2 linked regions of the Caenorhabditis elegans genome follow. The protein of the gene in region 1 interacts with the protein of each later gene in a biochemical or structural test. Each region holds a gene or a part of one and is shown in the gene's direction. Other genes may lie near its edges.

Region 1 (7,178 bases):
GTTCAGTTTATCTTTGACATGATGTAAAGATAAAAAGGATTTCTTTGAATTAAGTTTTTGTTCTGTACTCTGATTTCTCCATTCTTCCTTCCATTTCTTCTATTCCAAACTTTCTTCCACAAAGCCCCACACACACAACTTTTCAATTAAAGGTTTCGTGCTCTTTGGCAATTTTCACATTTCCGGTGCCATCTTGTCCTTGCTTTTCGGACCCTTTGGAATTTTAAGTCAAAAGTGAGAAAAACGAACCAAAAATGAAAAATAAACGCCCACATTTAGACAATGGAGATTTCGTTTTCCACCCACCAGTTTGGAAAAACTTTTGAGTTTCGATTCTAGCTTTGAAATCTTATGAAACATTGTTGGAAGAAAATTGCAAAAACGATGTGCAGATTTCATTAGCACATTTTACTCCTAGTGACCGTGACCAGTTGTGGTTTGATTTTTATAATTCCTGTTTTGTTTTCCGTAATTCGGAAAATTGAATTTCCCTATTTTATTAGACAATAATAAATTTAATCAGTTCTTTTCTCAACATTAGTTTCAACTTCCTTCTAAAAATCATTCAATGCTTCCGAAGACAAATTTAGAAAACGATATATAAAAAGACGCTTCACTTTTATAGATGCATTATCATTTTTCAATTCGTCTTTTAATGCTAGCATATACTTTTCATTTTTATTGGAAAGTTGCACGACTTAAGAATTTGCTCGCTAAAAATCATTAGAACAAAATTCTAGACGATCTGCGGCGATTAGTCTAGAAATGGTTTTTGTTCAGACGTTATTATTTTGAATAATATTTTTTTGAAGAAGTCTTTGAATTTTTAATTTTCAATAGATCATAAAAGGCTTTTGGTTTTGAAAAAAGTTATAACCAAATTGTTTTGAATAAAAACACCGATTTTTGGAGTTTTTGAATTTTTTTCAACGAAAAAAATTCACAAAAAAAAAAAAAGAAAACGTATGTTTTGTTTCTAAATTTCAAACTTACATTAAATAAAACTCACAATCAGTCGGCAACGTATGAAAAATTTCAAAATCTGCAGAAAATGCATTTTACTAAAAATTGACTTCTGCGTTTTGATCTCAGAATGAAAAAATTCGGAAGGTATGCCAACAAAACTTTACTATTTGGGAATTAATTCACAATAGCGTATTCCAATTTTTCAAACATAATTTTGCAAGAACCCTTGAAAGTTTCCATAAAATCCTTATCATCCTTACTAAACAAGATAAACACAGTTTTATGATCTTTGGCATGTTTGGCTCTTCCCACGAGACAAAATTGTTTCTTTAATTGGATCTAACTCGAAAAAGAAAACAGGGAACCATCATTATCAAATTGCATTCTCTGAAAAAAAACAGATATCCGGATCTTCGGATCAAAAGTCTAATTATAGATGATGTTCTTCTATTTAAATTCAAATTTGTCCTTTTCCTTCTCCCACTTTACACCTTAACCGACTCCTCCTCATTCTGCTTTTTCCTCTTCTTTTTTTGATGTAGTCGTCAGTTTCATATCGAAATTAGAAATAGGTGAGAAAAAAGAGGATCCTCTTCTTCCATTTTTTCAGCATTTTCCAGAACGCCTAATTACTTTTCATTGGTGTTCTTTGATGATATACTGAAAAACGAATGAAGAAAGTGGAAAATGAAGTGGAAAACAAGGAAAATGAAGACATGAAAATTCCTATCAATTCTCGTGTTCTCTTTTTTCTTATGTATTTGTTGCCCCCCGGGCTAGTGTCTAGACCCAATAATTTGCAGATCTTCTCCTCCTTCACTCTCTCATCACTTTCAGTCCCGCTTTTGTGCTTTTTTGAGTCTTGTTTGCTCTTTTTATGGGCTCTTCAAAGAACACTAAAGTGCCAATACAATCGTGTTCTTCTCATATGGCTTCTTTTTCCAAAAAGTTACATTTTCAGAGAAATGATGGATTCGATGGACTTTCACAGAATAATGGCTTTCGTGTATTTACCGACTATTCTGATTGGGCTTCTTGGTAATTTACTATCACTTTACGCATACAGTCGTAAAAATAGAAAATCCATGGTAAGTTCTAGTTTTAAAGCAAAAGTATATCTTGAAATTCAAATGACTTTAAGATGTCGGTTTAGGGAAAATTTATTTATGAGGTTTCCAGAAATTCATTAACAAAAATTAAGTGCATTCAGAAAGTTCCAGGTCTCTAGTATACAATTCTGTCGATTGGTTCATTTCCCCGTAAAAAAAACATTGGAACTAGGTAAATCTGAAATTGTTCAGTGCATTTTTTACTTCTTTTCTATTTTTTTCTGAATGTCAGAAAACATCTCGAAAATGTTTTGGAAGACGAATTTTCTTCGAAATCCCTAAACATTTTTTACCTAACTCAATCAATAAAATTTAGGATTGTTCTTCCGAAATTGTTTTTTTTCTGCAAAACACCTCAAGCGATTCACAGGTTCGCCAAAATCCTAAAATCGATTTGAGGATTGAAAAACAACTTTTCTAACAAAGCTATTTTACTATGAAAAAAATTGCCTGAAATTTTTCAGATCGACTTTTTTCTAGTTCAAACTGGCCATCTAAAGATTTAGTAAGAACATATGGTTAAAAAAAACATGTTCCAAGTTGAAATCCCAAGACTAAGAATCATGTTTCCTGTAAAATTGTTATTTTTGCAGGTCGGTTTCCTGCTGTACTCACTGTCCGTCTCTGACATCTTCCTGCTAGTCTTCGCTCTTCCACTTTTCAGCATCATGTATCTACCCATTTGGTAAGGTTTTGTGGGTGTGAAATTGGAAAGTGTTACGCATACCCACACACATCTCATTTGCACACAAGATGAGCGAAAGCACGTCAGGAAGGAAAATAAGATATTGCGCGCTTTTCTTTCACAAATGCGAGAAAAAGTGTTAAGGTTATTGCAGAAGGAAGTGGGAGGAAATTATGATGTGTTCAGGATGACCTATGGAGTTACATGAAATTAAAAAACATATTATTCTAATCACATTATTTAATTTCAGGACTGACGAGCAGAGAAGTTTCGTCGTCGCGTACACTGCTAAATATGTATATCCGTTGTGTATGATGGCAAAAACATGCAGTCTTTATATTATGGTATTGATTACTATTGAGCGATGGATTGCTGTTTGTCGACCACTTGAGGTACTACTTAACTTTTAAAATATCCGGGTAAAATGGACCTTACCAAATTTTTCTGAAAACAGGGAAATAGATTTTTGTCGCCAGGGGTTACTTTTTGAAATTACATGGAAAATGTGGTGACCTGAATCTATTTCGAATAATTTCACGAAAAATTAATGAATTGTTAAACGAAGGATAAATAATTGTATGGTTCCAAAAAAAATCAATAAAAAATTATCCGAAAAAACTGCAGCTTAAAATTCCAGCTTTCTCTATTTATTTTTTAATTTTCCAGGTCCAAATCTGGTGTCGATACACCACATCATCATACTCCATCGCCGCCATCATCACTTTCGCAGTGGTTCTGAATTTTGCTCGATTCTTTGAATTTGAAATTGAATACATCGATGGTTTGGCATTCTTCAGACGGGATCTTCTGGATTCTGAGAAACATTGGTGGTACTTCATGTTTTATTTCATCATCATTTCTATTATATTCGATTATCTCGTTCCATTTGTGATCATGTTTGTTGCGAATATGTTGATTATCAGCGAGCTGAGAAGAACGAAAAAGGAAAGAAGTTTGATGACAATTCAACAACAAAAAGAGCAAAATACGACAGTAATGCTTCTGGTTATCACAATTTTCTTTGGATTCTGCCACTTCTTCTCAATGGCCCTAAAGCTTGCGGAGAGTTTTGTTGGAAAGTTTCTAACAATTCAGGTAGCTAAAATCTGTTTAATTTTTATTTGAGCTGTACAATTTCAGAATATTTATCTAGAAATGCTTGGAGAAATTTTTAACTACCTCATTATCATTCACACCGCCTCAACATTTTTCATCTATTACATGTTTTCGGAGAAGTTCCGGCAAATAATCAAAGGAATTTGGAAGTGAGTTTTTACGAATTTTAAATTCATACAACCCTAACTTCATATAGCCCTAAAAACAATGTATTTTGGTTGAAAATGATGTAAAAAACTTGAAGTTTATTTAAAAATTAATCAGGCCCGATCAATACCGACACGGTAGCCTTCCTGATGGAACTCTGAACATTACTGACAGGTATCAAAAAATTTTGTGATGGTATTGCTTTTTGAAACTGCCCAGCTTCTTGATATGCCTCTTGCTAATGTCTAAAAATTATATTTCAAATGTTTTTATTGAAAAATCAATTAAAAATGTATTAAATTTAAAATTGGTACAATTTTAATGTAAGTCAGCACGATTGTATACGTTTTTTGGCAGACATTAGCTTTTGGAATGTTGAAATTAAATGCCTCTCGTAAATATTCCCTAATAATATTGCATGTGGTTGCTTAAATTTTAAACAATTCCGGTAAAAAGTAAACTTTTATAAGAGCCTGTAACTGTCTAAACATGCCTTCTTGCGGCTTATTGCTTGTTTTAATTTTAATGATTAAAATGTTGGGCAATTTTCTACTCAGGCAACTCAAATCTAATATGAAAATATTAAATAGCAATATTTTTGTAGTAAAAACGAGAAATAGTGCGTCCATATACGATTACTAAAAATTTCGAATAGATTTCAATTTTGTCTCAAAAGATTACAATTTGATCTCAAAATATTGCGAAAGTGTGAAAATTTCTAGGAAGACTTCCGTTTTATCTCAAAATATTACTAATTTGTCTCAAAAGACTGCGAACTAGTCTCCGAAGATTGAGATTTCATCTCCGAAGATTGAGATTTCGTCTCAGAATATTGCGATTTTGTCTCAAAATATTGCGAATTTGTCTCTAAATATTAAAAATGCATTCATCGACTATTCTAGAACTGTTTTGTGATAACTCGAAGAACTTTTGTTGCCATTGAGGGGAGTTGAACTTGTCCGTCGCTTGTCGTTGAGTCTATGAACCATTATCTTACCTGTTGAGCCATCCTGTACGTGTCGCATCTAGATATAGTTATTGCTTAAGTAAATAGTTGATGGGCGCACGTCCTTTTCGTTACCTTTGATGGGAAATCAGTGACTTTTCGCAAATTTTCTAAGTGTCAGAGCGAAATTGGATAACTTTCTTTGAAAGCGAATGTTGAAAAACGATTTATTTGTTATGCTTTTAAAAATGTTAGAATTGCAATTTTTCCGAATTTTTGTCAAAGAGAGAATAACATTTTATTTTTTCAATATTTATTTTCACTAACAATTTGATTAAAATGATGAGTATACTGGGAACATGCTTGCTGTTGACAATATTTTATGATTTCAATTGAAATCAGAAAATCTCAAACGCATCACGCGTGAATGAATAGTTGTAAGTCTACTTTAATGTATTTGACCAATCTTCGTGATTGTTTGACTGAATTTATAATATGACCGGCCAATTATCTAGAAAAAATTACATGAGTGGACAGATTTGTGAATTCTGTGGCTTTCTCTGCAAAAACTCCTTCTACAATATGCAACGAAAAATCAAATATCCGTTAACAGTGAGATACTCCATTATATAGATTTTCATGTAGCTGTTTTTTTACTTTGAAAAGTCTTTTATCATTTGGAAGAAAAGAGAATTTAGAACGGAACAGTAATCATAATTGTTGTATATATATATCACGATCATGTGAAGCCGATGGAAATTTGGAAATGGTGTTTTGTAATCTTTATGGACTGCAAAAAGATTGCAAATTAATCTTAGAATATTACACATTTTTTTGTAATATTTTTAGATTTCAGAAAGATTGCGAACCAATCTCAAAAGATTGCTATGTCATCTCAAAATATTACGAATTTTTCGTAATATTTTCAGATTCAGAAATATTGCGAATCAACCTCAAAATATTGCGAAATATTCTCAAAAGATTGCTCAATCTAAAAAGATTTCGAATAAGTCTCGGAATATTGCGATTTTATCTTGAAATATCACCCAACTACAAAAATGTTGCTATTTAATATTTTCATATTAGATTTGAGTTGCCTGAGTAAGCTAGAACAACATTCTGGAACGACGAAAAACTCACAAGTAACTTTGCAAAGTTTATTTTAAATTAAAAAAAAAACGTCCGCATGCAGAGAATGAAAAACATGCTCTTGAAATTCTCGTAAACCAATAAAATCAAAAAAATTTCAGTAAAAAGCGAAAGATCAACCGGCACGGAAGCAGCACAAAAATCATGTACCATACAGAAGCCACAATCATCCATAAGCCAGCATCTTTGAAGACTCGATATTCAAGAATTTCTTCCGAATAACTCTAAAATTTAAAACAAAAAAATATCCAAACATTACGTGTCATTCAGATCATACCAAACTTCAATACGATCTTCGGCTTTTCTTGTTGTATTTTTTTGTTCATTAGAGAACTCAAACCCCCCAAGGTATTTTGCATGTATTACGAGGAGACAGCGGGTGTATGATGTTTTACAAAAATCAATAAAAATTTTTGAAAAGTGTGAATTTTGTATGCAATTAAAAAAAAAACAGTAATTTGATGGAGTTGTTCTGGATATATATGTAGGTACAAAAAAGTCAGGATGCCTATCAGAGAAGTGTTACATAGGCTGAAGGCGACCTACGCTTACCTTTCGGTAGAGAACATTTTTATTAGTGCCGTATTATATTTATGAATGCTTTAGGGGCATCTGTTATTTTCAAGTCTGAAACTATACTTTTTAAAATGATTTCTCAGATAACAGAAGTTTCAAAAGCTGCATCGCAACGCTTTCGGAACTTGTAACTTCAATCCATTTTGGGACAATTTTTATATGAAAGTGTCTAGAAATTCCTAATAAATTTTATTTGTTTTTAGTTCCAAACGTTTAGTTTTCTGTTAGTAATATCCAATTTTCCCTCGATCTCTCTAGTTGCATAAGTATTGAATATCTCAAAAATGTTACAACAGTAATCACACTCCAATTAAATATTGATTTAGGTAATAAACCAATAAATAAACAAAAATAAATCAAGTGTTTTTGCATCGTCATGCTAAAAAGACCCCAGGAACCGTGGGAGGTCTGGATATAAAAAAGTAAAAAGAGGTGAAAACCAGTTCCTTCATTTTTCTGTTACCTCACTTTCCACAAAATTACT
Region 2 (4,256 bases), on another chromosome or scaffold:
TACAATCAGATTATTTTTATGCTCCGCGAAAATTTAATCATGATCAAATGTGATATATGATGATAATTTGGGAATAAAAAAGTGGAGGTGGAACATAATTTGTGTTCTTACGGACTATAATTTATTTGATATAAAACATCATTATTTCACTTGTTGCAGTCAAAATGTTCAGACTTGCAACCGCTTTTTTCTTTAACCCCATTTAAATAGGTCATTTTGAAACTGAAATTTTAGATATCAATGTAACAATTTTCAGAAAATCATGAAAATGAGAAAATAACACTGAATCTCAATTTTTTCTAACTAGCCGTTTATTAATTAAAACTGTAGTAGCATTTTAGTCGGCATTTTGTGTCAAAACAAATTCATTCTTGTATTTTTTTTTAATGCAGTCAATATCTTAGTAAATTGCCAAATATACGAAACCTATGGAGCGTTTCTGAGGAATTCAGAACACTAGAACACTGTTCAATCCTTGCTACATTTAAATACAGGGTGGGCCAAAAGTATGGTAACACGTTTGCAGCTCTATAACTTTACTAGTGGAGAGAGTTATTACATCAATTTGTACAAGGTTTGTTCTCCATAAAATACTGACCAGATGAACGTTTTGAATTTTCAAAATATTCCCATCCGCATCGCTGCAGGCCTTCAGAACTTTTGAGATCACGACCTTTATGGCACGCAAGTCGGCATTCTGCGGGATTTCTACATTTTTCTCAAGGAATCCATCAAGTGTCTTACAAGTTTTTATAGTTCAAAGAATGCTCTTGGTCTAGAGATTTTTTAAAAACAAAAATCCAAATAATTTCTATCACGGTATTTCTGTCATGGACTGCGGCAGTAGGTTAAGTCTTGAATGGCATAGTCGCCAGAAAGATGGATGTGAGCGGCGAGTAGCAGTATGCAGAAAAATTCATTTTAGTATTTTTCGAGACGTTTTGACCTGACTTTCCAGAATTTTTTTAGAAAATTGAGCTCGAATGATTTTGTGGGTCGTTACGCCTTGCGAAACCAAAAAAACTGAGTAAATTTCGCAAAGTTGAATTCATGAAAAATTCAAAGGTTCTGGCGCCAGTGTCGACACAGAAAATTTTTGTATGCTACAAAAACAATCAAAAACGCTTCTTCACTTCTTTAACTTTAAATTTAACATAAAAATCATACATCTGAAAATTATTGGCGTGCGTGGGAGGTGTGTTTGTGTGGGAAGTGCCGCGTGCCAAATTACCGTTTTTTCGAAAGGGTTCGCCAAATTTTCGAGGTGATAAAGATCGCACCTTATTGGGAAACATTACAAATTTTGAGTCAAATTGAAGGAAATTTATTCAGCTATCAGTGTTTGATAGAAGAATGTGCGTATGACGTGGCAGTCGCGCGAAAAGCTCATGTAAAAGAACGCTTCATGTGTTACCATACTTTTGGCCCACCCTGTATAAATCGTGAAAACATAATTAGATTATAAAAGTAAAAGTCGCCCGGTTTCGATTATGGTTGGCAAAATCTGAGTAATCGCTACTTTTTTTTGATTGCAATTAAAAATAAATTCTGACACCTTTTAAAAACATGTACCATGATATTTTTTAAACGATTTCGCGACTTGGACTACATCTTTTGAACTCCAATATTATCAGTTCCGAAGTGTGATGTTGATGTTAACATAATGACATTTACAACGTATTCTGATTTCTTTGAATATCTTCTCGAACTCTCGAGACACATCTGTTCAGATTCCAGTTGACTTGTCACATTTACGCATTTCCCTCCTCCATTCTTTTATTTTGTTTCTATTTCTTGCGTAAATCTGATTAAAATCGAGAAGTAGGCGCGCATTTTCTGTCTTCACCTTTTGACTATAAAAGTACTCTACAAATATTGAACAACACTTTTTAAAAGTTGTAGTAGTTATTGGCCATCAGGAATTAGGAGGTCAGTTGCAAAATCATGCATCTTTTAGGATTAAAAGCTTAAATCTTGCTCATTCATTTCCTGTCTTATTTTGAAGTTTTTCTCTCTTCCAACGCCTCCCACTGTGACTACTATCATCTATTATTATCTTGTAGGGATTCCTCAATTTCCAGACACCCTCAAACTCGGCCCCGTTCCGATTCGAACATGATGACGTCACTGCTCACTATCTCAATGTTCGTCGTCGCCATTCAGGCCTTTGATTCGTCGGAAATTCGAATGCTCGATGAACAATGTGAGTGTTTGTTGTTTTTATATTGTTTTAGAACTTTTTAGAACAAGCTTATACTCATTGAGAACTGGATTGAAATGTTATATGTTTTTTAAAGTATTTCAAGTACAAATTACTTTTGAACATACTTTGATCAAAACTATAGTTAAAAAAAACTTGGCTATCTTCATTTCGTATTCTTGAAGTTTGTAGTACACAGAAAAAAATGTCTTTAATCCAGATGGATCCATTTCTCCTGACTTAAAAATTAGAGTCTGTAGAATTCTCAGAAGTCATTAGGACTTGATGAAATCTGAATCGTAAACAAATGTTTTTTAAAGCTATCTAATTTATTTTCTAAATAAAAAACATAAATATCTGAACTCTGAACGAAATTCAATATCCGAAAACAAATGTCTATTTCAGATGACACGAAGAATCCCTTCTTTCAATTTCTCGAAAACTCAAAACGAAGTGATCGACCGACTCGTGCAATGGATTCTCCACTGATCCGTTTTGGCAAAAGAGCTGCTGATGGAGCACCACTCATCAGATTTGGTCGTGCTCCAGAAGCATCTCCGTTCATTCGTTTTGGAAAGAGAGCTGCCGATGGGGCTCCTTTGATCAGGTAACTTTCAACCCTTCTTAAAAATTATACTCCCACAGCTGCTTCCGAATAGAAGAAACAGTTTTAACTTCTATAACGGCAAATTGCATAATCCCATTTAACTGTCAGTCTTTTCAATATTTCAAAAAAATTAAGATTGCCTAAAATTTGTCTACGCCACTTTTGAAATTCAAGATATAAAAATTCAATATTTTTCCTATTCCTGATTATTGAATTGAAGTGCAACAGTTTTGTTTTTAACTCCTCAAAGTTACCGTTTCAATAGCAATCCAAAATACATAACCTGCATTAGAAAACCATCGTGATATCTGTACTTCATTTCTAGATTTGGCCGTGCTCCAGAAGCTTCTCCATTCATCAGATTTGGCAAAAGAGCATCTCCATCAGCTCCATTGATCCGTTTCGGACGTTCTCCATCAGCCGTACCACTCATCCGTTTTGGCCGATCTGCAGCTGCTCCACTTATTCGCTTCGGACGTGCTTCATCAGCTCCTCTCATTCGTTTTGGCAGAAAATAAATTCACTTTTTGATCTTTCTTTGTGTGTGTGTGTGTTTGTGGTTCATTTTGGATCTCATTTAGTCGACGATTGTGTGTCTACACCTATTTCCTTCCTTCACTGTCTTTTCCCCAAACACTCTTCTTCCCCCAACCAATGTTCATTTTCATTTTGGCTCTACTCATGCATTTCTTCATCTTCTTCTTCGACGTCTTGAATTCACAAAAATGAATTGTTCTATCCGGTTGTTAATACTTTCAAGCAAAATTATTTTATTTGAAAATCAAACTTAGATAAAGACGAAAAAATAAAAATACGTTGAAGACAGGTAAAAAAAAACATTGAAATACCGGTTTTGAAAACGACTAAACAGGTTTTGTGACGAGAAAAGGGAAAACAATCACAGGGTTATAAATATGGGTTTTGGAAAAAGAAACAAATAAAAATCTATCCAATAAATCTATTTTCAGTAGGTCTAACGAGGCTGAAATTGTTCCATGAAAGCCCGAGATTCTTCATTTTGACTGATGATCTCTCGCATAAGGGTCATCATCTGAAATTTAAAGCATTTTAAAAAGATTTTAAGATTAGAAGTAGTCAAATAGTTTACCTGCAACAACTGATCCTTCATTTGTTTAACTTCCGATTGATCTGTGTCTAATTCTGAATCTTGTAACGACAATGCCTGCATTCTTGGGAACCAGTCCAAATTCCGATCTTTAACACATTGTGCCACGTAGCTTTCGGGTCCTGTGAACTCAGTTTCATCCTTAATTTGGAGCATCACAATGTAATACAAATAATGCCAAATATTGTGCTCCGTTTCTCGATGTGTTTCAAAAGTCACTGATCGGTTGTCAAAACGAGATCTATCTAATCCACAAATGAAACAGTTGTTTTTCAAAATTTGTTCTTTCTCGTTTTTCTCGGCTCTCAAATCTCCGAATGTGT

Evidence for each region.
Region 2: the proteins of frpr-4 (region 1) and flp-13 interact in a test that uses a peptide from one of them, tested with the Caenorhabditis elegans proteins (one large-scale study listed by BioGRID).

Annotation. Positions count from the first base shown.
Region 1 is NC_003280.10:5,250,283-5,257,460, reverse strand, and holds frpr-4 (G-protein coupled receptors family 1 profile domain-containing protein), read left to right. Parts: upstream 1-1,931; coding exon 1,932-2,054; intron 2,055-2,668; coding exon 2,669-2,760; intron 2,761-3,010; coding exon 3,011-3,152; intron 3,153-3,426; coding exon 3,427-3,855; intron 3,856-3,900; coding exon 3,901-4,025; intron 4,026-4,140; coding exon 4,141-4,197; coding exon of another isoform or gene 4,198-4,216; intron 4,217-6,219; coding exon 6,220-6,340; 3' UTR 6,341-6,541; downstream 6,542-7,178.
Region 2 is NC_003282.8:7,696,228-7,700,483, reverse strand, and holds flp-13 (SPSAVPLIRF-amide), read left to right. Parts: upstream 1-2,063; 5' UTR 2,064-2,115; coding exon 2,116-2,203; intron 2,204-2,605; coding exon 2,606-2,807; intron 2,808-3,132; coding exon 3,133-3,325; 3' UTR 3,326-3,555; downstream 3,556-4,256. Other genes in the region: Inositol 1,4,5-trisphosphate receptor itr-1, read right to left, coding at 3,781-3,858, 3,916-4,256. UniProt on the Caenorhabditis elegans protein: Probable FMRFamide-like neuropeptides. Binds to neuronal receptors such as dmsr-1 to promote sleep in response to cellular stress also known as stress-induced sleep (SIS).